Stegostoma tigrinum: one gene and its partners. The protein of the gene in region 1 purifies or fractionates together with the protein of each later gene. This does not show direct contact. Links are inferred from orthologs where the notes say so. Each region holds a gene or a part of one and is shown in the gene's direction. Other genes may lie near its edges.

The links.
Region 2: the proteins of ptpn5 (region 1) and mapk1 purify together in Homo sapiens (affinity purification with mass spectrometry; 4 studies listed by BioGRID and IntAct, with this or other methods). This does not show direct contact. The link is inferred for Stegostoma tigrinum from reciprocal best matches to the Homo sapiens genes PTPN5 and MAPK1.
Region 3: the proteins of ptpn5 (region 1) and atp5po purify together in Homo sapiens (affinity purification with mass spectrometry; 3 studies listed by BioGRID and IntAct, with this or other methods). This does not show direct contact. The link is inferred for Stegostoma tigrinum from reciprocal best matches to the Homo sapiens genes PTPN5 and ATP5PO.
Region 4: the proteins of ptpn5 (region 1) and mitogen-activated protein kinase 14 purify together in Homo sapiens (affinity purification with mass spectrometry; 3 studies listed by BioGRID and IntAct, with this or other methods). This does not show direct contact. The link is inferred for Stegostoma tigrinum from reciprocal best matches to the Homo sapiens genes PTPN5 and MAPK14.

The regions. Positions count from the first base shown.
Region 1 is NC_081370.1:8,063,041-8,070,923, reverse strand, and holds the start of ptpn5 (tyrosine-protein phosphatase non-receptor type 5), read left to right. Parts: upstream 1-4,863; 5' UTR 4,864-4,892; intron 4,893-5,200; exon of another isoform or gene 5,201-5,511; intron 5,512-7,883. UniProt on the Homo sapiens protein: May regulate the activity of several effector molecules involved in synaptic plasticity and neuronal cell survival, including MAPKs, Src family kinases and NMDA receptors.
Region 2 is NC_081379.1:44,398,447-44,405,342, reverse strand, and holds the start of mapk1 (mitogen-activated protein kinase 1), read left to right. Parts: upstream 1-3,895; 5' UTR 3,896-3,933; coding exon 3,934-4,061; intron 4,062-6,896. UniProt on the Homo sapiens protein: Serine/threonine kinase which acts as an essential component of the MAP kinase signal transduction pathway. MAPK1/ERK2 and MAPK3/ERK1 are the 2 MAPKs which play an important role in the MAPK/ERK cascade.
Region 3 is NC_081365.1:21,269,658-21,276,868, reverse strand, and holds the start of atp5po (ATP synthase subunit O, mitochondrial), read left to right. Parts: upstream 1-4,196; 5' UTR 4,197-4,211; coding exon 4,212-4,253; intron 4,254-7,211. Other genes in the region: mrps6 (28S ribosomal protein S6, mitochondrial), read right to left, coding at 3,934-3,962. UniProt on the Homo sapiens protein: Subunit OSCP, of the mitochondrial membrane ATP synthase complex (F(1)F(0) ATP synthase or Complex V) that produces ATP from ADP in the presence of a proton gradient across the membrane which is generated by electron transport complexes of the respiratory chain.
Region 4 is NC_081374.1:27,103,223-27,110,413, reverse strand, and holds the start of mitogen-activated protein kinase 14, read left to right. Parts: upstream 1-4,172; 5' UTR 4,173-4,520; coding exon 4,521-4,636; intron 4,637-7,191. UniProt on the Homo sapiens protein: Serine/threonine kinase which acts as an essential component of the MAP kinase signal transduction pathway.

The DNA.
Region 1 (7,883 bases):
TTCTATATCTTTCCACAACACCCTGTATCCAGGAATATCCAGAACTCAGTCCAGCCAGTTGTGACTCAGATCTCAGCTTCGCTGTTTGGCTCTTCAAACATGCAGCTCACCAACCTTATGTACAATGTTTTGTGCACATATACGCACTGTAAGTACTCTGAGTAATGCTAATGTTTCTGGTATGGGGAAAATGTTTGCAGCTGTTATTAAAGATGTCACAACAGGGCACTTAGATAAGTTTAAGGCAATCAGGAAGAGTCAACATGGTTTTTCAAAGGGGTATCATGCTTAACTAGTTTATTGGAGTACTTTGTAGAAATAACTTGTGCTGTAGCCAAAGTGGAACCAGTGGATTTATTGCGCTTAGACTTTTAGAAGGCATCTGAAAAGGTATTACATCAAAAGTTATTGCGGAAAATAGAAGCTCATTGTGTAAATAGTGAAGGTCAGATCGCTTTTGACAAAGTTCTGCACAGGAGCCTGCTAAATGAGATCAGAGCCCATGGTGTTAAGGGCAAGATACTGGCATGGATAGAGGATAGGTTGACTGGCAGAAGGCAGAGAGTGCGAATAAAGGGGTCATTTTCAGGACGGCAACCAGTGAGTAATGGAACTCTGCAGGGGTCAATGTTGGGACCACAACTATTCACGTAATACATGAATGATCTGAATGAAGGAGCTGAAGGCAGTGTTGCAGATGACACAAAGATAGTTAGAGGGGCAGATAGTGTCAAGGAAGCAGGGGAAGCTATAGATGGTCTTGGACAGGCTCGGCAACTGGGCAAGGAAGTGGCAGATGGGATAAGATGTGAGAGAATGTAAGGTTATGCACTTTGGTGATAAGAATAGAGGCATAGGCATTTTCCTAAGGGGAAAGGCTTTAGAAATCTGAAGCACAAAGTGACATTGGAGTCCTAGTTCAGGATTCTCTTAAGATTGATATGCTGATTTAATTGGAAGTTAGAAAGGCAAATGCAATGTTAGCATTAATTTCAAGGGGGCTAGAATACAAAGGGAGAAGCTGTAAAAGGGTCTGGTCAGACAGCATTTGTAATATTGTGAACAGTTTTGGGCCGTGTAGTTAAGCGAGGATGTGCTGGCCTTGGAGCAGTTCGTATTATTTTATACTCTGGTGCTGAGTGTCCTTTTCAATCTTTTCTGTACTTTGTTCTTCTTTTGAATGCTGCATCTTGGTTCCTTTTCAACTGCCATATTGGTTTAACCCCTACCCATCATCCCCAGCAAACGTTTACAAGAATGATCCCAGGAATGAAGGGCTTACTGCAGGAAAAGCAGTTGAGGATAATGTGTCTGTACTCAATGGAATTTCGAAGGATGAGGGGATATTTTATTGAAACTTATGAATACTGACAGGCCTGGACAGAATGGACATGGAGAAATGTTTCCACTAGTAGGAGAGGCTAGGATGCAATGGCGCAGCCTCAGAGTGAGGGGATGATGATTTAGAACTGAGATGAGGAAGAATTTCTTCAGCCAGAGGGTAATGAAACTGTGGAACTCATTGTCACACTGAGAGCTGTAGAGGCCAAGTCATTGAGTGTCTTTAAGACAGAGATTGATAGGTTCTTGTTTAGTAAGGGCATCAAGGGATTATAGAGAGAAGGTGGGAAATGGGTTTGAGCAATATATCAGCCATGGTCAAATTGTGCAGCACACTTGATGGGCCAAACGGCCTAATTCTGCTCCTGTATCTTATGATGATAAGATATGTTATATGTTATGTTGGCATGGCAGGTGTGTTACAGGGGTCAGTGCTTGGGCCTTAAGACCTTACAATGTATACAAAAGATTTGGATGATAACACAAAGATAGGTAGGAAAGTGAGTTGTGAACAGGGCACAAGGAACCTGTGAAGGGATACGGCTAGTTAGGTGAGTGGGAAAAGATCTGAAAAATGGAATACAATGTAGGAAAGTGGGAAATTGTCCATTTGGGAAGAAAGAATGAAAAAGATGAATATTAACCAAATTGTGAGAGTTGGCAGAGCTCTGAGATGCAGAGCGTTCTGGGTGTCCGGGTGCATGGTAGAAGGTTAGTATGCAAATACAGCAAGTAAATCAGTAAACCTAATTACTGTGAGGGAAATTGAATGCAAAAGTAGGGAAATTATTCTTCAGTTATACAGAGCATTGGTGAGACTGCATCTGGAGAAATGTGTATAGTACTGTTCACCGTACGTTTGGAAGAATGTTAATATATTGGAAGAAATTCAGAGAATGTTTACTAATCTAATACCTAACATAAGCATATTGCCTTATGAGGAGAGACTAGAGAGGCTAGACCTGTATCCCTGGAGTTTCCAAGAATCAGGGGATATTTAATTGAAATATGAAATACAATTCCTGAACGGACTTCACAGGGTGGATATCAAAAGGATGTTTCCTCTTGTGGGAGAATCTAGGACCGGGGTCATAGTTTAAAAATAATATGGTGTCCATTTAAGACAGAGTTAAGGAAAGAGTTTTAAGCTCAGATGGTTGGGAGTCTTTAGAATTTTCTTCTTCAAAAGACACTGGATGCAGAATCTTTAGGTTTTTTAAAGGCAGAACTAAATAGAATCTTTATTACCAGTAAGTCGAAAGATCATCGGGGTATGTAGGAATATAGAGTTAAGGTTAAAATCAGATCAGTTATGATCTTAATGAATGGGGGAAGAGGCTTAAGAGCAGAATAGCTATCTCTTATCCCTTTCTTGTTTGTTTGTACATTTATATTCCTAACTAATACCATACTGCATTCCCTCTCAGTATTACCCCACTAAGTATATCGTTATTTTATACTCTGGTGCTGTCAATCTTTTCTGTAACTTGGTTCTTCCTTTTGAATGTTGCATCTTGGTTCCTTTTCAACTGCCACATTGGTTTAACCCCTACTCATCATCCCCAGCAAATCGGTTCCTCAAGGACACTGATCCTGGCTCTGTTGAAGTGAAGTTCTGTGAGTTCTTGAGTTCTGGGGAAGGGTCATCGAACCCGAAACGTTAACTCTGTTTTCTTCTTCACAGATGCTGCCAGACCTGCTGAGCTTTTCCAGAAACTCTGGTGAAGTAAAACCTGGCTAGCCTCTCCAGGGCCCGTATCCATCAAAAACAGTCATGATGTCTCAGAAATCTAAAGCCTTTTTTCTTGATATACATTCATGTTTGTCGTTCAACTATTTCAAAGCCCACTGTGAGTTGGCACCATGAGGAATCTGGAAATTGTGGCCTGAGAGGTCCTATTTGCTAGTTTTCATCCTAACAGTATAAAAATTTCTGCAGGACCTCAGTTAACTTTTCAGTCCTGTTGTCAGGACCAACAGTGAATGTGACCTCTGGCTATTTACCCTCTTCCCTCAAAGTGTTTCGCAGCTGAAAACGTGATATCCCCGACCCTAGCACCACAAAGGAAACACACCATCCATGATCACATTTGTGAGTGCAAAAGGCCCAATTTCCTGACCAATAAATGATCAATACTGAGTTCTCAGTTGACTGTTACATTAAAGAAAACACTTTTCTCCACCTAATACCGTCGCACAGTACAAAGTAATCCCGCAAACAACCAGTCATCCTTTATCCTACTTCCTCTCCATTCACCAAACACACAACCATTGCTCAGCACGAACTGCTGCCTTGATATTTATCAGACTGCAGCCAGACGTTAGCAAACAAAATAAATGTGGCAGAAGCAAATGCTTTCTATGCAATTTAAATTTAAACAGAAGTCCAATTTTTTTTGAAAAATATACTTTTTCCATAAACCTGACAAGCATACATTACAGTCTATTCAACTGTAATCACCAAATTGGCCAGTATTTCCCTACCCATTTCCTCTCCAATCAGTTGGGACTTTTCTTGGAACTTATCCTCTTTCACTGTTCCACTATCTCCTCCTCACCCAACTTACCCTTCTTTACATCTTCTATTTTGACTTATTTCACCAACCCAAATCCTTGTCACTTGGTGCTCAGCTCTCATGCGCGTATTCTTCATCCGCTCTGTCTAACCTCTGGGAGATGACAGAACACCTCTTATCCTCAATCTGTTTAGTCTTCTTATTACCTTCTCTAGAAGAGTCAATATAAAACACAAATGGATGAAGAATGATGCACTGTTTATCACTCTATCTATCCCCATTTCCTGATTTATGAGTATGAGCAATTCAAATCTATTTTCATGTGTAAAAACTCACAATTTACAAAACACAAGCAATATAATTAGGTGATAATGGGAACTGCAGATGCTGGAGAATCCAAGATAATGAACTGTGAGGCTGGATGAACACAGCAGGCCCAGCAGCATCTCAGGAGCACAAAAGCTGACTTTTCGGGCCTAGACCCTTCATCAGAAAGGGGGATGGGGTGAGGGTTCTGGAATAAATAGGGAGAGAGGGGTAGGCGGACCGAAGATGGAGAGAAAAGAAGATAGGTGGAGAGGAGAGTATAGGTGGGGAGGTAGGGAGGGGATAGACCTATCCCCTTTGGCAATTTGGCCCATTGGCTCCACTCACCGCTGTAACCGTGCATTTTTTTTGGAAAATCCACCTAACCTGGACATCTTTGGACTGTGGGAGGAACCTAGCAGAAACTGGGGGAACGTGCAAATGCCCCACAGACAATTGCCTGAGAGTGGAATTGAACCCATGTCTTTGGGAGTCTGCAGAATTAACCACTGAGCCACCATGCATCAATCCAATGAGTATATTTATAAAAGTGGCAGCTGCTGAGTAGATTTCTTTGAATGTGCATGGAAGGAATGAGTCAATTTTTTTTCCCTATCGTGTTGTGTGCAATTCTCCTGCAGCATTAATGAGATTTTCTCTTTGCACAGAGATACAGTTTGAATTCACTAGAACTATATCGGTGCTTTCTCATGCACACAGCAGCAGTTTGTGAGTAAGCTGCTCTCTCTTCCTGGCATTGTTTGCCCTTTCTTTTCCCTTATGAGTTTTCCATTCATGTTTCTGTTTAATTCAAAAGAGCATGTGCTATATGTGTGTGTGTGTGTGTGGGTGTGTGGGTGGGCTTTGAAAGTGTCCTGTTCGGCAAACAATTGAGTTGAAGGGAGAGAAATGGGAGAGAGCTTGAAACGTGGGGGAGAAGAGAGAAAAAAAACCTTCACAATTTAATCAGGGATGTGGGCGTGAAGACAGCAGCTGCTCCGAGACACTTGTCGATGAATCGTGATATCCGGAGCATTCTTCCACCAACCTCGATGAGCATCTTAGCTCACTGAGCAGAAACAGTATCCTTTGTCTTCTCTGGATCGGGAGATATAACAGAGAGCAGCGTAAGGTTTACTTCTGACGCACTCCATCCTCCGCCCCTCCCCCCTCCCCAAATGCCAAGGACCATCACTTGCCAAAAAAAATTCTACACTTACAGCCACAGGTGCTCAAAGGAGGGTAGATCAGTCCTCAGGCTGACAGAGTTGATACACATGTATTGCCTATGATTAATCTTGATGAATACAATGTAAACAGCAGGCCGGCTGACCAAATTCTTCAACTGGTAAATATCCATTTCTTTGATGTACTTTTCCAATGTGTTACTGTAGTTGCTGCGAACCATGTAGGTGAAACATCTTCTCGAAGTCATTATACAGTGCATGCTTAACCCTTAAAGCCAAGACCTATGTAAAGCCTTTAATATGGTTATACCTTATTGTTTCATAGAGTATAACATTAGCAGCAGTGTATAAGCCTTCAGACTTCTTTTTTAATTAGACGTATTGACTTGATATTTAGTGAGTCTGGTTGTGGTATGGAAAGGAATATGATGAAGATCTGATTCAGTTAGTCAAATCCTGAGTTAGAGATTTCTGAATGTGCTGTCATAATAATTCAACACTGACATGACTTGATTGTGGCCGGGTTTATATTTTATTTATCAGTTGGTGAGTGTCAGGCACACTGGCTTAATGGCAGTTTCTAAATAAGCCGTGCTTTGTCTGCATTTTTTTGAGTAAGCTGTCTGAAAATCTTTCAGAATATGACTGGGGATCTGAAGTCTGCTTTCTGAAATAAAAAAGTGTTCAGTTTTCCACTTTTTATTGTGGTTTACGATATGGAGGGATTGATTTTATTTTAAGAGTGGTTTTCAATGGAACTTTAGCAAGAGGGCTGTGATTACAGTCCTTCCCCTCTGTCTGGTCTTGATTGTCTCTCCTGGACTTGGCAAAAGGTGGTGACCCAGACATTGCATAAGATGGTGAGCACATATTTAATCAGGCATTTTGACCTTTTATTAAAAATTAATTATATGAATTGTGTGTGGATTTATCAATTTATAAATGCTGACCATTATTCGTTTATACTGGCTTTATGCTTCTGTGCAAAGTTGCTTCATTTGCCACTTTAATGGAATCAATGCAACATTAACTGTAAGTCATTGCCCAGCCATACAGTAATATTTGAGGATGTAATCTAAGCACTGCTAGATATTACATTTCTCTAGTCAGCACAGTGACATGATCCTACACAATATTGTAATGTACATTGCGGGATTTCTAATAGAGAAAATTAAAGAAGATGATACCAAACACTAACTTATCCCATTAAAAGGAATCAGGCTACAACTTGTTATTGGACAGGTTTTAGAGTTTAAGGAAGCTTGAGTCACCCTCCAGTCACCCTCCAGGCTACTGAGTGAATCACACAGGCTAAGACTAGATTTATATCTGCAATCATTAGACTTGCTGAATGTATCAAACCACAATTGTTCGGGAAGTAAAATGGCGAGGAATGTATTCAAATTGTGAAAACCATCTCGTTGAGTAAGTACCAGATCAACAAACATGTGCCAGATGCTTTGTTTCTGACTACATAAGGCTGGTTCTTGAATATGATTTCAGTGTCATTTACAGAGGAAAGATAATAGGCTGAAAACTGCAGGCATGTGGCAGCTCAAACAAAATGAACCTGCAGGTACTGGATGTTTGAAGCAAAATGTTGGAATCACTCAACATGCCAGGCACTATTTGTGGACAAAACACTTGAGTTAGGTTTTCTATGTGGTCCTTCACTAGGATAGGACAATGTTGCTGAAGGATAACATTTAAAAAAAGATAAACTACAAGAAAGAAGGAGGAAAAAGTAATGAGATAAGAAAGAAAGCAGACCTAGAGTTATAGTTCTGCAGAGAGTTTGATCATTATTTATTCTTACCTCTGTCGAAGACTTGTGGATATTATAGAGACATGGTGTCGGTAGCATTTAATTTGTTCTTTAGTGTTCCCTACAAACCTTCTGCAGAAGTTACGAGAGAAGTTGGAAGAATGACTGCGAAAATTCAATCTTCTGACTGACAAACAGGATATGGTTAAGTGGCTAAAGTGATAGAATGAATGTAGAGGTTTTATGAGAGAACCTGTGACTAGTTATGGATATATGTGGTTCCTCAAGGTTTTCTTCAGGGAAAATCATGTTTAAATAAGTTTCTGGAGATTTTCAAAAAGGTAACAGAGGGTTGATGAGGGTAACATTGTCGATGTGTTACATGTGGACTGCTGGAAGGTTTTTTATATAGTGCTGCAAAAAGGGCTTAAGATCAAACTTAGTTCACATAGAATAAAAGAGAAAGTAGCAACTTGAATATGCAAAAATTGGCTCAGTGGTAGGAAACAGAGGAATAATTGCCAATGGACTCTTTATGAGCTGGTAAAATCTTTGTGGAGGATTTCCCCATGGCATCATTATTGGGACATGTGTATGTATTAATGATCTAGATCTTGGTGTGTAGGTGACAATTTCAAAGCTTATGAAAAATGCAAAACTTAGAAGCATTGTAAACTGTGTAAAGCCTGAAAGGACATGAACAGGTTGGTGGAGTGGGATGATGGTAGTAGATGCCAGTTAATGTAGAGGAGTGTGAGTTCATACATC
Region 2 (6,896 bases), on another chromosome or scaffold:
CTTAGACAGAATTGTGTTACAGAAGGAGGCTGACAGTCAAATCAAATCAGCCTCCCTTTCCTCGTATTCACAACACAGTAAAATTAGAATATTCCATGACCCACAAAATTGCCCCAATGATTCATAACCAGAATTTTTGAATACCTCACAGTTCATAACCTAAAATAATTTTAAAAAATATTAATTACACAGTAGCTTTAGCAGAGCAAAGTTAAACAAGGTAAAACAGTAATTTAAACCCAATCTTCTTTGATTCTAGACCTCCACTTGCACAAAAGCAGATAGACACAGTTAAAGGATAAATTAAAAGAAAAAAAAACAGATGAAAAGTGACTGGCAAATTCATTTAACCTGTTTCCACCCTGTAGCATCACAGGTGCATAGGATTGCAGCTTGCTTGGTTTCTGAAGACACCGATCAATGCAAACAGTTTCCTGTAAGCTCCAAGGGAAAGTCGCTTAATTCTTATGACTGAAATTCTATTCTCTGAAGTCTCAATAAATTGGTAATTGGACAATAATAATACTGTAGTCATACATCCTTGCTGTAGCTTTGGCAGCCATAATCATAGTGACAAAAACACAGTTCAAAATCTGTGCAAACCTTAGTTTCTCTTTTGGATTTTCTTAACATTATTTCTCTTAGGCTGACTGCTACCATAACTCCATGAGGCCCCATCTACATCCAAACATTTACCATCTGTTTGAGAGTAATGCATCTTTGGGACCAAAATATCTCTACAGCACTTTGAAGAAGAATCCAACTGCAATTAATTTCCAGGCCTGGTCTGAAACAAATATTTTTGTTTGAACAAATGTTCAAATGGTTGTTCCCTTTCTAAAAAAAAATGCTGCTGCTGACAGATCAAAGATAGCCTTCAGCTCCAAACCAAAAATAATGAAGGTCTCAAGAAGAGAGAGAAACTATTCCCTTTGGTGGAAGGATCCGGAATTGGAGATCGCAGCTTGTAGGCAATTGGCAAAATAGTTGAAGGCAACGTGAAGAAAAGTCTTTTTGGGCAGTGAGTAGTTAGGATCAGAAATACACTGCCTATGTTGGAAGGATAAAGTTGCCAGAAGACTGTACAGTTGCTCTCTTGTTATAGAGAGAATGACTGGTGGTAGTTTAACCAGATGTCACCATGCATCAGGTGAGGGGAGAGGTTGAGAAGGTAGGACCTTCATGGTAACCTCAACCGTGTTGAAACTGAACATGCCTTGTTGGCATCAATCCACATCACAATCTAGCCAGCTGAAAAAGGGGATGTGATGGCTTTGTGGTGTCATTCATGGAGAAATTTGCAAGAAAATAAAAACCACAAGTCAATCACGAAGTGGTCAGTACATAGCATCCTCAAGACACAGCAGGAAAAGGAGAGGGTGGATCCAGTCGTGTGGGTCCCTGAACAGACTGTCAAAGTCATTTGGCAGAATGCCTCATCACTAGAACTTTCTGACCAGCACCAAGACATCACTTGGCTGATGGTAAGAAGGGCACGACCTGAGAGATCCTTCATGTACACCTAGTTGGTTTGCGCCACTGCATGCTGCGGTCGAAGCAGCTGCAGGGACGTTGAGACTATCACACACCTTCTGGAATGTGGTTTTTTAAAGGCAATCTGGAGAAAGACACAGTGGTTTTTGGCAAGGTTCATCCTGAGCATCTCTGGGACACAGGACTCTGTACTCTATGGTCTGTCCCCCATACTGAGACAAACATCAACTGCACCTGGAGCCCTCGATTCAGTGAAAGACGTTCTTTGGTCTGCCCAAAACTTGTTGGTCTTCCAGAACAACTATTGCAGACTGGCACATTCCAAGGTCCAGGACTATGTGCTCAGGGATATTGTAAAGTTTGGGGCAACTGCTGCCATGACGCCACTGTCTGAGGTCTTTCTGAAGTCAAACAGGTGTCTGTTCAATTATGAGACCCTCCTAGTGCCTCAAATGCATGTAAATATAGTCTTGTACATGTAAGAGACGTCTGTGGTTTGTTTGGATACGGTCAAACTCCAATGTTTGTTTACTTCCTTGATATGCTACTGTACAGAACTGAACTGCATTTGTAACTATATGTGTATAAAAGATATTTTTTAATGAATAAAGTATGTTTTTGAAATTAAAAAAGGTATTATCACTGGACAGTTAATCCAGAGATCCAGGTAATATTCAGGGACCTGGGTTCGAACGCCACCATGAATTCGTGGAATTCATGGTCTGGTCTACATACGACTCCAGACTCACAACACAGAAGCATAGAAAGTAGGTGCATTAGGGATGAGTAGGGTCATTTGGCCCTTCAAGCCTGCACCACCATTCAGTACGATCATGATTGATCATGCAATTTCAGTATCCCATTCCACTTTCTCCCCATACACCTTGATCCCATTAGTTTCAAGGGCCACATCCAGCTTCATCTTGCATCTATCTAATGAACTGGCTCCAACAATTTTTTGTGGGAGAGAATTCCACAGGTTCACAACGCTCTGAGTGAAGAAAGTTTTTCCTCATCTCAGTCCTGAATGGCTTATCCCATATTCTTCGACTGTGATGTTTAACTCTAGACTTCCCCAGCACTGGGAACATTTTTCCCACAGCTAACCTGTATAGTCCCATGAGGAATTTATGTTTCCATGAGGCTCCTTCCTCTAAAATCCAGTAAATATAAGCCCAGTCAATCCAATCTTTCTTCATATGTCAGTCCTGACAGCCTAGGAATCAGTCTGGTGAGCCTTTGCTGAACTTTCCCCAATGGCAAGATTATCCTTCCTCTGACTAGGACGTGGCCTCACCAAGGTATAAATGGAGCAAGCCATCTCTACTCCTATGCTCAAATCTTCTTGCAATGAACGCCAATAGCTTTCCTCACTACCTGCTGCACCTTCAGCAACTACTCCACCATGAAACCCAGGTCTCGCAGCACCTTACCTTTTCCTAAATTGCCACCATTCAGCTAATAATCTGCTTTCCTGTTTCTGCAACCAAAGCCGATAACCTCACATTTATCCACATTAATAATAAAATGTGAGGCTGGATGAACACAGCAGGCCAAGCAGCATCTCAGGAGCACAAAAGCTGACGTTTCGGGCCTAGACCCTTCGGCTGCTTGGCCTGCCGTGTTCATCCAGCCTCACATTTTATTATCTTGGAATTCTCCAGCATCTGCAGTTCCCATTATCTCTGATACTATTTATCCACATTACACTGCATTTGCCAAATATTCACCCACTCGGCCAGTCTGTCAGAGTCACTTAACAGCCTCTTAGTATCCTCCTTACTGCAAACACTGCCACCCAGCTCAGTGTCATCAACAATGTGGTTGACCCTTAACTACCCTCTGGGTAATTAGGAATGGGCAATAAACGCTGGTCTGACCAGCGACAGCCTCATCCCGTGAGCGATATAAAAACATACCCCTCCTGGTCATTACCCTAAGGCTTTGTACAGGTTCTTGCTGTGCATAAAAATCGCTCTTTCTTTCAACACATTAAATTTGCTTCACAAGTACTTCATTAACTGTAAGATTCAGGAAACGTTTGGAAACAGGTCACTACATAAAATATGAACACTTCATTTCCCCTCCCTTGGCTCTTCACCTCGAAATCAAACTCGGCGATTCAACCGTCGTCCCTCAACTTTGGATCACATGGCCTACCACCGTCCAATCGAAGCACACCCCAGCTCGTTTAGATCACGTGATCAAATCTCGTCCGTTCAATCGTAGCTCCCGCGGCTGTGACCACGTGGTCCACCACCGTCCAATTGAATCACCCCACTCCGCCTTGAGTCACGTGCCCAGCACCATCCAATCGAATCGCTAACCGCTGGTTCTGGATCAGGTGGTTCAATGTGGTCCAATCAACCTCCTCCCTGTCACATGTGCCTGCCTGTCCAATAGCCACGATCCTTGGTCATTCCGGATGATCTGAGTAAGATGGCTGCTGCGCCTACTTTGCCTCAGTGCGCAACCGGGCCTGAAGTGATTCGTGGGCAGGTGTTCGACACCGGGCCGCGATACACTAACCTCAGTTACATCGGGGAGGGAGCTTATGGCATGGTTTGGTGAGTGTGATCTTTCAGGATAGTGGTGATGAGAGAGTGTCCAAGTTCGAGTCCGTAGAGGGAGGGGGCGGGAGAGGAAGCAGAGATTTGGGGGGCAGTGGTGTGGACGGTGGGATAGTAGAGAGAAAGGAGTACCAGGAGAGGTGACTGAGTATCGTCCGGAAAACGGAGGCCGCAGGATGCTTCGGGTCACTGGTCGGAATTAGGATGGAGGAGATGAGGGTGGAGATTTGGAGGGAAAGAGAAAAAACTGGGAAATAGAGAGGTCCAGGCGAGCGAAAACGGGTGGGGGTAGAGAACAGTTAAACAAATGGGGTGGAGGCTTTAGGGAAAGTGGGCTGTGACTGATAGAAGGAACGAAATTCCAGTATTTTAGTGAACTGAAGGAGAGACGAGGAGAGGATAAAGGTAGAAGAGGAGTCACGACAATTGGGTGTAGCAGGAACTAGTTGGATACAATTAAGAATATGGCAAAGGCTGTGAATTTATTGGGGTTCGGGAGAGTGGAGACGATTAGGTAATTGTGCAGGCTGTAAGGCTATAAAGAGTGTTTAAATTTGGAACGGACCTGAAGCCTGTTCATTGTATTTTTGATTAGATAATTGTAGCTTGCGTTTCTTATTGTGTACTGGCATGCCTAGTACAAATGACGTATAGCAAGTACTGAGTGCAAAACTGAGATCGAAGTCTGGCGATGCTAATGGATCTTTCTCTTTGTTCAGATGTGCTTATGCTTTTATAATTGTAATGAAGTCTTTCAGAGGTCCTTTGTAGCAAATACTTGATGGCAATTGGGAGTGCTGTGCAGTAAATTAAGCAATACTACTCTAAGTATAGAGAACAACTTGAAGATGTTTTCTTCCATTTCCCTTTTGGAACGTTATGCCTGCTACAACTGGCCAGACTTCTTGCCTGTGCTTGCAAAACTGTTTCTGCTGCTGTGTAATATGCCCTAAAATGTAAAGGTAGATATGGCAGCACCAGCAATTGCAGCATCCAGCTGGGAAGAAAATTACTGAAAATATATGCAGCAGGTGTAATTTTGATAAAAGTTTATTTTATATGTCAGTTTATACATATCTTTTGAAAAATGACCAGGGCAAGTTGTGGATAAACAGCTGTCTTCAATTAACAACACGTTACTCTCCTCAGGCAGATTTTTTTTAAGCTGAGTTGTCATTCCACAGACTTTGGCAGATTTCCATTCTTTTGCCCGAATGGTCATTTTTCATGCAAGTCTAGACACTATAAATATTTTCACTCTTTGACTGTTGTGATCAATTCAGCCCGGCCCAAACTTGTTGCCCAATATTTCATGTATTTTACAGTAGGGCTTGCTGAATGACGATTAGAAGAGAAAAGTTTCCTCCTTGGTCTACAGATGTTGAAATCAACTGTATCTGAACTAAAACTGATTTCTTAATTTTAACAGGCTTACGCCTCAATAACAAGTCTCACCTACTCCAAGCGTGTGGAATCATATGTTTGAACAAGTGGTTAGAAGACATTTACAAGCTCTATTTGATGAATAAACTTGCAGATATGCTCATTCAGGGCATTCTATTTACTTGCTATTCTGTTGAAGAAACTCCCTTTTTAAAAACACGTCATTAATATGGATAGTATAAAGTGTATGACTATTATCTCAGCAAAGTATTCCGGCAAAAGATCTTTGTATGCTTGTTGTGGTTGGCTTTTAAATCCCAGAAATCTCATCTCATTTCCTGGGGTAGTCATGCTGCTGATAATGGATAGATGTTAGCCTAAATGACCATTACATCATCAGCTCTGTTTAAAAATTCTCACAAGTAATAGCTTTAGTATAACATATTGTTTAAATTGCTTTCCTGTTCTGCTAAGTTTATTTTTTTGTTGTCAAACTAACTATTCCTAGTTTTATAATAAGAATCTTTTACTAAAGATTAGCAGGGAAGACCCTCAACTGAAATGCCTCCATGCCAAGACAATGTTTTGTGTAAATATTATTCCTGGTTTATTTGGTTGAAACAGTACATAGCCAACTGGAAGTTTTAATAACACCATATTTTTGTGTGAAAATACTTCCTTGTCATGGCTTGCTGTTGTACTCTGAGGACCTGACCACATTGATCTAATAACCTCAGAGGCAGTAGGCCATTGTGGTTAATTAAAATATGAGGCATAAGTATAGCCAATTCAGATCAATGCTGTGTCCCACCAGGGTTCTTGGAAAATACTCTTTTGGAAAAATGGTATAGTTTCTTAGACATTACTGTATTTATGCTCATCGTGCCAGTTAAAACCTCCTGACTTAGTGTTGTGATGTAGTGTTTTCTTTTGGTTGTAAATTAAGGTGAAGTTACACAAGCATGAATATTACTTAAGCAATAGAAAGGCCTATGTGAAAAATACTTTGATCCACTCACTGATACAGAACTTTATTAGGTAGGGTGCACTCGTGGATAATAAGTATTGGTGTGTCGTTTATTCAAAAATTTAATTTCTTTTTTATTGAAATGTTTTTGATTTGATGTGTCTGGTTCAAACACTTTGGTTTTTGTGGAATTGCATTTGTAAGGAAGCATGTATCAGTTTAGAAATTAGGTTCTGTCATTTACCCTGATCCTGAAGAGTGGTTATAAAAATATCAAATGCACGGCTTTTTTTTTACCCCCTCTGGGGCTCGACCTTCTCCCACATGGTGCCTTTGAACTTAATGGATGCTGTAGATTATTTATTTATATGGCTTTGGGCAGGGAAGTGTTCTGAAACATGGAGGAAAGATTTTGTCTGTAGTGCACAGCGCAATTTAATTTTCCTTTTGGATCCATGCAGTGCCAGAGCTTTCTTAGACTT
Region 3 (7,211 bases), on another chromosome or scaffold:
AAACGTCAGCAGGCCACAATGATGGTCCAGAGAAGGAAGTCAACATATTGTGTAGATTCTCAACCCACTATCTTCCTTAATAGCAAATGCAGAAGGGGCTTCTGTGGTATAGTGAAGCTCCTGGGTCACACTAAATGATGCTTAACAAAGTGTTGACCACCACTGAGCAAACCAGTGTCATTAAGACAGATAGATGCCACCAGAATGGGAACATTAGCTTGGGGCAGGAACCTAAGTTTGAAGTGAACTTTTTGCCACTGGATTTGGAGGATCTTGAAAAGGCACTGCTGGTACTTCCACTGCTGTCTTACAGTGTCTGCTGTAGGTAGGCAATGGCCTAGTAGCATTATCACTAGACTATTAATCCAGAAATTCAACTAACTTTCTGGGGAACCAGGTTCAAATCCTGCCATGGCAAATGGTTAAAAATTGAATTTAATAAAACAAAACTGGACTTAAGAATCTACTGATAACCATGAAATCCTTTTGAATGTCACTGCCTACATGTGACTCCGGACCCACAGCAATGTGGTTGACTCTCAACAAAGAAATAAAATTAAATGGACCACCTGAAATTAACCTAGGCACCTGAAAAGGCACGGCAGAAAAGGCCCATAGGCCCTACAAAGTCATGCTTACTAACATCTGGTGGCTAGTGGCAAAATGGAGAGCCACAATGCAGACTTGACATTTTCATACTCACAGAATCGTATCTCACTATGTCTCAAACACCACCATCACTATCCCGAATATGTCTTGGCCCTCAGGCTGACAGACCCAGCAGAGGTAGTGACACAAAGGTATACAGTCAGGAGTGAGTTGACATTGACTTCAGATCAAATGAAGTCTCATGGCTTCAAGTTAAACATTGGTATGGAAACCTCCTGCTGATTACAAGGTACTGTCATCCCTCAGCTCATAAATCTGTACACCTACATGTTGAACAGCACTTGGAGGAAGCACTAAAGGTGGCAACAGCACTAAATTTATTCTGGGTGGAGGATTTAGCATATACCACCTAGAGTGGCTCGGCAGAAGTACTATAGATCAAGCTGGTCAGACCCTGATTGATATAGCTGCTAGATTGTGTCTACAATATTGCGCCAGAATTTCAGCAAGGGCCCTATCTACTCCAGGAATATTGCTGCTTTCTAGCTGTTGAATGGCTTTTCCAACTTTCCTCCAAGATCAACCAAGCTGGTACTGAGGAATGGAATAGAGGACATTCAATTGGAAGACAGAGTCTCAGGTAAAACATTCTTCAAAATATGCTCTCCAGCACTGACTGCCTCCCTATCCAATGAGAACCCCTCCCCGTATGGATTTCAATAGGGTAAGTCCTTGACTGCTTTTGGGGCATTGGTGGTCTTGAGAACATTGAAGCAACCACATCTTTAGTGTCTGCAGTTTTTGAATTTCCTGTGTTTTGCCATTCATTTTTTAGTTCTGCCATGGATTTTAAGCTGTAATATTGCCTTAAGCAAGTGAAGGACTGTTGCATTCATTCAGTCCATTGACTCCATGCTGGCTCTCCAAAACAGCAGTTTTTATGTAGTCTCACTCTTCCAGTCTTTCATTTTTCATATGTTTATCCAGTTCCCTTTCAAAACAATCACTGAATTTGTCTGAATCAAGCATAAATGCAGTGAATAGTGCTTGGAGGAAGCACTAAGAGTGGCAACAGCACTAAATGTATTTCGGGTGGGGGATTTAGTGTATACCACCGAGAGTGGCTCGGCAGAAGTACTACAGATCGAGCTGGTCAGACCCTAATTGATAAAGTTGCTAAATTCGTCTGCAATACTGTGTCAGAATTTCAGCAAGGGCCCTATCTGCTCCAGGAGTACTGCTGTTTTCTACATGTTGACTGGCTTTTCCAACTCTCCTCCAAGATCAACCAAGCTGGTACTGAGGAATGGAATTGAGGACATTCAATTGGAAGACAGACATATTGCTTGATATCCTTATCTAACAAAATTCTCTTGACCTTAATCAAACAAAGCATACATCATTTGGAAAATGTCTGGTTTCCACACTGTACATTTTAAATTTAACCATGACTTTCTGCAACATCCTTCAGTATTACATCTCCTTCCGTATGCTTTGGTCATTGAGCTCCGCTTACTGCACCTTCCAGAATCTGTGCTCCTTCATATTTATAGTTTTATGCAGACTCTTACCTCTTTAGTTGTCTTTTTTTCCCCCCAGAAAGTATTTATTGTCTCCTCGGGTTATAAACTGGTTCTGTATTGCAGGGTCTAGGCCCGAAACGTCAGCTTTTGTGGGATGAAGGGTCTAGGCCCGAAACGTCAGCTTTTGTGCTCCTGAGATGCTGCTTGGCCTGCTGTGTTCATCCAGCCTCACATTTTATTATCCTGTATTGCAATACATTGTTTTTGACCACTTTTTGTTGATCAACTGCCATTTTACCCATTACAAAAATTGCTCTGTTTACTGTGGATTGTCTCTGTCTCATCTCTTTGAAGTCAGACTTACCAGAATCTTAGTACTTTTTTGTGTTTCACCCTTTCAAAAGTTAAGTTGAATTCAAAGGTATTGGGAGTGCTATTAAATAAATGTTCACTAATTTGGTTCATTACTTAATGCTAAACTTAATGTGGCAAAACCCCTTGTTGGTTCTCTAACATACTGCTGCAGAAATCTAACAAGAAATTCAGTACATATCCTAGTCTACTTAACCCAATATATATGAAAGTTAAAGTGCCCCATTAAAAACACTCTAATTTTGCTTGTCTACCTTTGCACTTGTACAACTTATCCCACCACATCAGCTAGCAGCCTCAGTTGAGAGTCGTCTTGACCCAGAGTCAATGGTTATGGGTTTAACTCTGTCCCAGACGCAAGCATCGAATTTAGAAAGCTAGCTTACACTTCCTTGTAATACTCTGAAGTGCTGCACTGATATTTCATTGTTACTTGTGAAATTTTGTTATGTAAAAATTTGTTGCCATATTTCCCTATCTTTTACGTTACTTCATTGGCTACAAAGTGTGTTTTTGCAAAAGGTTCAATATAAAAGTTTATAATACTGGTAAGATTGCTTGTATAGGCGATCCTAACCCCTTTCACGTGAATTTCTGATTGACTGTGGACTTGCTTCTATCTAGTCTACTGTATTCACTGCTCACAATGTTATGACTTCTACATCGGAGAGACCAAACACAATGATCATATTGCAAAACAGCTGTGATGAGTCTGCAAACATGACCTTTACTTCACAGCCGCTTGCCATCTTGGTACACCATCTTCCTCTCAAGCCTACAGCTAACTTAGGCCTGTCGCTGTGTCACAACAGAAGATAGATGAACAGCATCGCATTTTTTACTTAGGTACTACGTAACCTCTCTGGACTTGACACTGGGTTCAACAACTTAAGAAAAAAAACTTTGTACTCCATTTTATTTCTCCAATTCCTTAGGGTCAGATTTTCTTGTTTTGCTTTCAGCAGAGCCGACTGTGTTCTACTGTTAGGTCCAGAACAGACGTTACCTCCCTTTCCTATGCCATTACTCCGCTCTTTCCCGTTTATGCAACATGTCTAATCTCCCTCAACCCTCTCTTCATGGATTCTGAAAACTGTTTTTATTTAATTGGGAATTTGGTGGTGATGGTAGTTTCTTTTCGGGGAGAGCGGAAAAATGAGGTAGAGGAAATACGAGCTGAATACAGGAAATTGTTCAGATTCAGTCCAGGGCCTTACTAACTTTGATGCGAAACTTCGATTTAAAGGTATTAGACTTCGTACAGAATGTGAAAAAGCATAATTCGGATCTTTCTATACATGCAAATCATATTTTTAAGCTCCATAAGAAAACTTCCCTGTCTATAATTACCGAGCATTTTTTTTAAAAAAAAACCTCCCGTTAATGCCAATTATAAAGACTGCAAAGTCTGTTCTACAAAATTCTCAACCTCTGAGGGATCGACTTCCTCCCAGTCATGCAATCCGTTCGATGGAAATACGGAAGGACCAGGTTGACTCCTCTCGAGAGTAAGTCACCAATCCGCTTGCCGCCTTTCTCCGCACTGGACGCCGGGAGTTGCAGTCCTTACCTCGCATTGATACGCCATCTGCGCATATGTCCCCCGCAATTGCCTACATGTCCCTAGAGGTAACAGCCACGCGTGCGTAGAAAGTCTTCCTCCGGCGACGGCAAGGCCTTGGGTTGACCTACACCAGGAGAAGGAAGATGGCGGCGCCGGTTCAGCTTGGTCTAAAGGTGATGGAGAGAGTTGAGTTCATTTGATTAGCACAGATTGTTAAATGTTCTACAGCTTCTAATGCTCCGTTTAAGTTTCCCTAGATTAAAAATGAAATTTAATTTAGTAAAATTACTTGACATACTATTGCTGCCTGCTGGTATCGAATTTAAATATTGGTAATGGGCTGGATCATTCATAGTTTTGCTTTTTATAAAGTTAAGACTTTCCTGCTAAACTTTAAATGTAGAGGATTTGGCACCCTATTTTTAAATCTAAATTTAAACGTGACCTTGAAATTCAGAATTCACTCGGTTGGGTATTTATTCTCCCCGTGTCTGCGTGGGTTTCCTCCCACAGTCCATAGATGTGCAAGATAGGTAGATTGGCCATGCTAAATTGCCTGTAGTGTTCAGGGGTGTGTGGGTTATAGGGGGATGGGTCTGGGTGGGATGCTTCAAGGGACTTGTTGGGCCGAAGGGCCTGTTTCCACACTGTAGGGAATCTAATCATAACTCCTTAGGAAAGTAGGGATACATTTTAAGTTAAACCGATGTTAAATTTGCATTTTATGTAATTGATGTACCACTGTACTAAGAGAAAACAAGTAAAAACAGAGCTGGCAACTTAAATCTAGAAAAGTATGAGGCTCATTGTCACCTTCAGCAGATTGGATGATTCAGGATCTTTCAATCTGTGGTCTATCCCATCCTTTACACCAAGAAATCAGAATACTAATTGTAGTTCACTGCATCATTGAAGCCAAAGTGACAGAAACAGCACAAGATCTACCCTGGAATTGGGTACTGTACCAAACTCAGAAAGTGCACATTTGGCTGCTGAAAATACTAAAAGTAACAGACTATGAACACAGTCAAGTAAAACTACAGCCTGTTGATTAAAAACAAAACTGTGTAGCCATACTGCAGCAAGTCAAGAAAAATGCTAGGACAACCAAGTGTCTACAGATGGTATGATTAAAATTCCCATCTTCCACCAATAAGATGGCATTATTTGCAACAGACTGACAAATTCAATGAATGGGTAATTCCTCATTAAGGCTTCCATCATCAGAGATGCATGTACTCATCCAAATCTATTTTCTCCATGAGACATTATGCTGCTGAGTTTAGTTGGCACAGTTAAAGAATCGGCCTGAAATAACAGAGATAAAAAGGTGTAGAGCTGGATGAACACAGCAGGCCAGGCAGCATCAGAGGAGCAAGAAGGCTGACGTTTCTAGGCCCGAAATGTCAGCCTTCCTGCTCCTCTGATGCTGCTTGGCCTGCTGTGTTCATCCAGCTCTACACCTTGTTATCTCAGATTCTCCTGCATCTGCATTTCCCCTGAAATAACATGCTGTTTATACATTAAAACATCTGTACCTCAGGTTCCTCCCACAGTCCAAAGATGTTCAGGTTAGGTGGATTGGCCAAGCTAAATTGCCCATAGTGACCAGAGTTGTACAGATTTAGGTGGATTAACCATGGGAAATGCAGAATTATTTGTTGGGCAGAGTTCTGGGTAGGATGCTGTTCAGAGGGTTGGACTGGACTTGATGGGCCACATGGCCTGCTTCCACACTAGGGATTCAATGATTCTAGAATCAGATGCTACCCAAAACAGTTGTTCCAACAGAGCTCTAATATAGTCATGCACCTAAAGATTATAAAATCTTATGTTTATTCTGGGAAATTATCATCCTATCAACTCCCTACAGTGATGCCATCAAGTTACTCACCAGGGATCTACCTATTGAATGGGTTCTATTCAGACCAAGGTTTCTTTGATTTCATCCACAATCTGATCTGTACATGGATAGAAGAGTGGAATAACTGATGTCCCAATTATTGATAATAGTCGATACCCTCAATGTTTAACATTATTTCATGAGATTTAATACAGGATATACTTAAAGATCATTTTTTTGTTGAAAAGAGACATGTGCAGGGACTGGATGTCTGCTCGCACAAGGCAAGCATATTGTTGATGGGCAATTGGAAACTACTATATTTTGAATAAAGAAACTGGAAAAACTGTGGATGCTGGAAATCAGAAAAAGAAAATGCGGAAAAACCCAGTTGTTCTGATAGTATCTGGAGTGAAATCAGAGTTAACATTTTGGGTCCAGTGAGCCTCCTTCAGAACAACTATATCCTTCACTTTTCCTTTTCTAATTTGTTTAGCTCAAGAAAACTAAAACTAATCATTACAGTAATGATCTGACTACAGTCCATTAACTCAGTGAAGAGACACTTTGTTGGCTTGCACAATTTAATGTAGTGTAGGAAATTTTTATCTTTTTAGAAATTGCACAGTACTATAAGACTCCATATTCTCCTGACCTACAAAGGTTGCCTCTGTCTCAACAAGACACTTCATTCACTAGCACTTTTCCAAAGGTAGCCTGTAAAGCGCCAAAAATCTTCAAATACAAGACTCTAGACAATTCAGGAATTGTGCCTTTTGGATTGAAAAATGTCAAGCATGATACAAGGGAAAAACCCTGTAGTGCCATCTGCCTATGTTTGGCTCATATTCCTCTAAACGTTTCCTGACCTTTTCTAGAGGTTTATAAGAACATAGAAACAGCACCTCCTCCATGACAATCCCCAACACTGGCACCCTAAAAGGATGCATTCTCAGCTGTCTTCTCGCTGTACAGTCTCAACTGTGTGTCCAAATTTCATACAAACACCATCTACAAGTTTGACAACACCACTGTTGTCGGCTGGATATCAAACAATTACGAATCAGAATACAGCAAGGAGATACAATGCTTGATGTCGTGGTGAATGATAACAATCTGTCCCTCATAGTCAGCATAATTAAAGAACTGATAATTGACTTCAGGAATAAAAGAGGAGAATGCGCCCCTATCTACGTAATGGAGGTGGAGGGGGTGGAGAGCATCACGTTCCTAGGAGTGACAATAACAAACGTTCTTTCCTGGACATCCCATTTAGATGCTACAGTCAAGAAGGCACAAC
Region 4 (7,191 bases), on another chromosome or scaffold:
GTGAATGTAGACAAAGGGCATAATTTGACATTGTGTCGGGGTCTCTGCACCACACAGCCGAAAATTTTTGGCAGCAAAATCCCTCGTTCATATGGATTCATTGTTGTCATTTAACACTGGCCTACATGTGACTCCAGACCCACAGCAATGTGGTTGCCTCTCAACTGCCTTCTGAAATGGCTTAGCGAGCCACTCAGTTATGCCAATTGCTACACCGTCTCAAAGAAATGAAACCAGACAGATTACCTGGCATCGACCTAGATGTCGGAAAAGACGACAAGAGCAACCCTGTCGACCTTGAGAAGGGCATAATTTAATACTGTGTCGAGGACTCTGCACCTCACAGCCTAATAGATTTGGCAGCAAATTCCCTTGTTCATGTGGATTCACTGTTGTCATTTAACACTGACCTACATGTGACTCCAGACCCACAGTAATGTGGCTGACTCTCAACTACCCTCTGAAATGGCCTAGCAAGCCACTCAGCTCTGCCAGTCGGTACAACATCTTAAAAAAATGAAACTGGGCAGATTACCTGACATTGACCAAAGCACCAGGAAAGACAATGGCAAAAATAACCCTGCTGACCTTGCAAAGTCTTCCTCACTAACATCTGGGGGCTAGTGACAATGTTAGGAGAGCCGTCTCACAGATCGTTTAGACACAGCCCGACTTAGTCATACTCACTGTATCATATCTTACAGACAATGTTCCAGACACCACCGTCACCATGCCTGGAAATGTCCTGTCCCACCAGCAGGTCAGACTCGGCAGAGGTGGTGGCACACTGGTTACAGTCAAGAGAGAGTTGCTATGGGAGTCCTCAACATTGACACCGGACCCCATGAAGCCTCATGGCTTCAGGAAACCTCTTGCTGATTACCATGTACTATTCTCCCTCAGCTGATGAATCAGTACTCCTCCACGTTGAACAACGCTTGGAGGAAGTACTGAGGATAGCAAGGGCACAAAATGTACTCTGGGTGAGGAACTTCATTGTCCACAACAAGAATGGCTCAGCTGCAGTACTACTGATCGAACTGGTCGGGCCTTAAAGGACATAGCTGCTAGATTGGCACTGCGGCAGGTGGTGAGGGAACCAACAAGAGAGAAAAACACACTTGACCTCATCCTTACCAATCTGCCAGCCGCAGTTGCATCTGTATATGACAGTATCGGTAAGAGTGACCATTGCACAGTCCTCGTGGAGACAAAATCCTGCCTTCACATTCAGAATAATCTCCATTATGATGTGTGGCACTATCACTTTGCTAAATGGGGCAGACTGCATTCAGATCTAGCAACTCAAGACTGGGTATTCCATGAGACACCATAGGCCATCAATAGTAGCAGAATTGTACTCCAGCACAATCTGTAACCTCATGGCCCGAGATATCCACAACTCAGGCATTACCATCAAGCCAGGGGATCAACACTGGTCCAATGGAAAGTGTAGGAGGGCATGCCTGAAGATGAGGTATCAACCTGGTATCGAACAGGGCTACTTGCATGCCAAACAGTGGAAGCAGCAAGTGAGAGACAGAGCTGAGCAAACCCACAACCAACAGATCAGTTCTAAGCTCTGCAGTCCTGCCACATCCATTCGTAAATGGCGACAAACAATTAAACAACTCACTGGAGGAGTAGGGACAACAAAAATCACCATCCACACTGGCCTAGCACATCAGTGCAAAAGATGAGGCTGAAGCATTCACAGAAATCTTCAGCCACAAGTGCTGAATGATGATCCATATTGGCCTCCTCCAGTGGTTCCCAGGATTAGAGATACCAGTCTTCAGCCAATTCGATTTACTTCACGTGATATCAAGAAATGGATGGGGACACTGGATTCTGCAAAGGCTACAGGCCCAAACAACATTCCAGCAATAGTACTGAAGACTCGCGCTCCGGAACTTACTGCTCCTCTAGCCATGCTGTTCTGGCAATGCTACAACACTGGTTTCTACCCAGTAATGTGGGGTACACAAAAAACAGGACAAATACAACCCGGCCAATTACCACCTCATCACTCTACTCTCAATCATCAGTAAATTGATGGAAGGTGTCATTGACAGTACTATCGAGCAACACCTGCTCAGCAATAACCTGCTCAGTGACGCCCAATTTGGGTTCCGCCAGGTCCACTCAGCTCCTGACCTGAGGAGAGGGGAGACTACAGTCTCTAAAGTAAGAGGATATCTGGGAAGTCTTAGAGTTGAATGCCTCATTCTGGCAGCAGATGTGGTGGAGGTGGAAGAATTGTGAGTATGGGATAGAATTTTTGCAGGAGGGTGGACGAGTGGAGATGTAAATGTTGGAGTCAATGAGCTTGAATTGGATGTCATTGGTAAGCTGGTTATTTGGTGATGGAAAGGAAGAGGTCCAGGGGGGGAAGAGGTGCCAGAAATGGTCCGAGTGAATTTGAGTGTGCAATGGAAGATGCTGGCGAAGCTGATGAAGTGCTTGAGCTCCTCCCGGGAGCATGAGGCAGGACCAATCATTAATATAACTGAGAAAAACATGGGGGATGGCGCCGGTGTAATTGCTGAAGAGGGACTATTCCACAAATCCTACAAAGAGGCAAGCATAAATCAGGCCCATGTCAGTGCCCATAGCCACCCCTTTATTTTGCATGAAGTGGGAGGAGTCAAAGGAAAATTGTTGAGGGTGAGGACCAGTTCTGCCAGGTGAATGAGAGTGTCAGTGGACGAGGATTGTGTGGCCCTACAGGTGACGAAGAAGTGGAGTCCTTTATGGCTATTATTGTGGTAAAAACAGGTGTACAGAGACTGCATACCCACAGTGAAGTTGAGGTATTGGGTGGTGGGAAATTGAAAGGTTTGGAAAAGGTGGAGGGTGTGGATTGTCCCAAATGTAGGTGGGGAGTTCCTGGACCAAAGGGGAAAAGATGGAATCAAGATAGTGGGAGGTGAGCTCAATGCAGCCGGAGTAGGCAGAGACAATGGGTCGTCAGTTGGATTTATGATCTTGGGTAGGAGACATAAACAACTGGTGCGGGGTGCGGGACCTATCAGTTTGGATATCAGGAATTCAAACTTGCAGACAGTCTGCAGTATGATGCAAACTACACCAGATGATCATCAGTTTCTCCAACAGTGTGCATGCTTACTTATATTGTCTCACTAAATGTAGGGAATTGTAAGTGTGCTGTATTTATTCTCAACCCTACCTACAATGAATCCACAATAGAAATGTAGGACAGAGTATTAATAAAAATATAAAATGGCAAGTGTTCGATATGACATCCAGTCTTTATATATTATATAGTAATACTTGCATACAGGTACGTCTAATGCAGCTTGCTATAAATTCATTAATCTCAATCCAGCAACTGATCTTTGCAAAATTAGACTATAAAAGTTATATAGGGGCAGGAAAAGGCAATCAAATTCACCTCAGCCTAGTAAGCCTATAGATGAAGCCATGTCTGGTTCAGTGACCTAGTCCCTTAACCCTCAATATATAGAACATACAACAATGTAACATAAGAACACATGCCTCAGTCCATCAAGTCTGTGCTGACCATGATTCCATTCTATACTCATCTCATCTGTCTATTCTCTGACTGTGTGTCTGTGTAAATGCCCCCTAAACGTTGTTATCTTATCTGCGATCGTCCCAGGCAATCTTCGCGAACAAAAACCTATCGGCCTCAGATTTAAAATTCACAACTTAACAGCTATCCTTTTGCACCTGTGCGGGCAATAACTCAATGCGTCGTTTGTGCTCTTGTGCCTGTCTGTCTGTCTCTGCCACAAATCATTTTTCAGCGGCACCTCCACAGTGTCAGTGGCATGTTAGACTATACTGCCTGGCTTTCTGTGTTACTACTCCTTTCCTCCAGATGCTGCCTGGCCGGCTATGTTTTTCCAGCCTCCTGTTTGTCTACGTTGGATTCCAGCATCTGCAATTTCTTCTTGTTTCTATTAAAACGCAAGCGTTCGATATACAGCAGCCGACAACGGAAGGATAGTGAGCAGCGAAACGGAAAGGCACGAATGAGGCCGAACAACAGCACTGGCCGTTGGGAGGACGGAGCCGCGTGCCCGTCTATCCGCGCTCCGCCGACGCCCGGGGTGTGGGCGAATGATATAACGCAATGACCGAACCATACCGCGCGCATAAGGGCGCGCGGCTGTGGGCGGGGCCTATGACGCCAGCGCGTCCGAAGAGGGAAGTGGAGCAGCTCGAGCCGTCGGGTGTCAGATGCCATTCCCCGTGGGGGGTGTTGATGTTACAGATCCACTTCATTTGAATGGATTTTACTTTCTCCACATCGGGATTGTAAAAAGGAGTAACATAACAGCCCCGCCCACCTCCTCAAGTCAGTCGTTTTTGAGATACGGAACGGGCGGTTTCTTTCAAAATTTTAAATTCTTCTTTGCAGCAACTCCTCTCCGCACCCTGACGCCTTCCCCTTCCTCTCTCCGTCCACCCGCCTCCCTCAACCACCTCCGACCCTCCCCTTTTCTAAGAGAGGAGAACAGCCTCCCTGCACAATGTCAGGAGTCAGGCCGCACTTTTACAAGCAAGAGTTGAATAAGACAATCTGGGAAGTGCCGGAGAGATACCAGAACCTCTCTCCCGTCGGATCTGGGGCTTACGGCTCCGTCTGGTACGTGTGCCGCCGCTGGTTTCAATTATTTTAATTTTTCCCGGAGCCGCGCACAGGTTTCTGTTTTTGCCCCAAGTTGTGGGAAAGTTGTGCAAGAGCTGCAAGCAGCCTTGCCAGCTGTGCACCCCTGCAGGCCTAGCTAGGCCCGCACTTTCTTCATGAGCCATTAGGATGTTTGGCGTCTGTTTCATTGGGACTCCCGCACGCTATGGTGCACGCATTGCACTTTTTAACGTTTTCTGTGTGCAAAATCTTTAAGCGGGCTTGACAAAACGTGTTCAACTCTAGTCAAAAACAAATTGCTCAGTAACTTTTTGCATGATGCATTGGTTTTCTCCACTGTTGAGGCCGCCTACCGTGTGCAACAAAAGGGGTAAAGCAGCAGTGAAAGTTTACTGTATAGTTCTAATTCCGGTTTTTATTAAGAAAAGCCATTGGATTTTAACCGATCAGTTTCCCTTGTGGATTGATTCTAAACCCTGTGGTATATTGATAGCATGTCTAATCCTTTCAGTCGATACAGCGATTGTCTCTTAACCACAATAATTGCTCTTTATTGCATTTATAGTTGCAAGTTTCATTTTCATGGGAATACTTTTATTGACTAAATTCTATTGTTGAACGGCATTGCTTTCGACCCTTTTGTAGCTTGCTTCGCCATATAGGCACAGTACTGAAATAACGAGTAGTTTGATAGCAGTTTATAACTTAATGATTTGCACAATTTGGATAGTTTCTTATTTTTGTATATGAGTATTAAATATGAATCTTGCGATCCTTTTCAACCTAACGTGAGCCTTAAATTCACATTCTTCGCTAACGGCTTTTGTTTAAAACTATGAAATGCTACCATTAGCAGTGGAGTAGAATTGTGGGGTCAATAGGAGCCTAACTGCAGCAATGACGGCTGGAGTATGGAACTAGATGCTTACAGAGTTGGGTAGTGTTGCGGAAGGACTTATACAAATGAGGTGGATCATTTCTACCAATTGAAAAAATGTGAAAAGATGAGTGACAAAATTTGGTCAAGTTTGAGATTGTTGACCCTCTAAGGTTCCTTATGAACAAACAGAAACACAAATGGAAAATGTGCATATATATGTAAACGCGAGTGCTGAGCATCACAAATATTGATTTCATTACGCTTCCGATAGATGCCTATCTGTCTACAATATTCATCATGCAAGTAAAAGAATACCCTTCACTGCTTGGGTCAGTGGCTGAAATAGTCCTGATGTTCTACCAACGCTCTGATTTGAGAAGCTTGGGTGTCAATACTGAGTATTTTAAACTTAACAAGTCGCTGTGCAGAAGCAGATCGTGGGTGTTTTCATTTTGGAAATACGAAAATTTAAGTGATTTTTTTGACTGCAACATTGGGAAGCTAATTGTGGGCAACTAATGCATTGTTTAACTGAAATTAAAGAGTATGACAAATTAGTTCTGCCTGCAAATTAGATTTCTTCTCTATCTGTGGCATTGATTTTGCATGATATCTCATTTGTGTTAGTCACTTACTTTCTTTTCACACAATTGGTTATGATGATGAGCACCATCTAAAGTAGTTTTTTTTCAGAGTGACAGCTGCTGAAGGATCCAATATCCATTTGGCAGGGCATTTCTTGGGGTACTGTTTAATGTGCTTGTGGTGGTGTTTGGGTCACATTGCTGGATGGTACTGGTGAGTTGATAAGTCAGCTTGTCTAGTAATGTTGTTTCATCATTTGCAATCAGCCCATGATGCCCTGAGATGCTGTGATGTGTTGTGGTGAATGCACATACATTTATTTGCTATTATTATCATATACACATTTGCCAGTACAGCAAATCCATGGATATATTAAATGTAGTAAAATCCATGATAGGTCTTAACAGAGATAGTAGGAACTGCAGATGCTGGAGAATCTGAGATAACAAGATTAGAGCTGAATGAACACAGCAGGCCAAGCAGCATCAGAGGAGCAGGAAGGCTGATGTTTCAGGCTTAGACGAAATGTCAGCCCCACACCTAGTTATCATAGGTCTTGGCAGTCTTATTTTGAGATGACGAGTTAGTTTAAAGTGCAGACTAGAAAGTGAAAAGAAATTCAGGGAATAAGAAATTAGAAAGTAGAGCTACATGCCACTGTAGTTCTTAATTTTGACCTGTTCTAAACCTGAAATGGGTTTTTTTAGTCGAACATCAGTAAAACTATTTTGCTGAAATAATGAAATGTTGAATCAATGCTTCAACCCTCAGTTTAAAAGAAATAAGATTTTTCTTTTGAGGATTCTGTCCTGAGTGCTTAACTGCATTTCATTTGAGCCAAATGTTTCTGTGCTATTTAATTCATTTTTTCCCCCACAAAAGTGGGAACAAAATACTGTCATCAGTATTGTTAAGTCTTTTAGGAGACAGGAAACCGGCAGTGCGTTAAGCAGAGCAATTGATTAAGCAGTAGTTTTCTCTCATCACACTTGGTTTCCTTTGGATGTAAATGTTGCAGTAAATATTCACAGACACTGCAGAAAAATTTTAATGTTAGAGTACAACCTATATAAAATTCAAAAAGCTG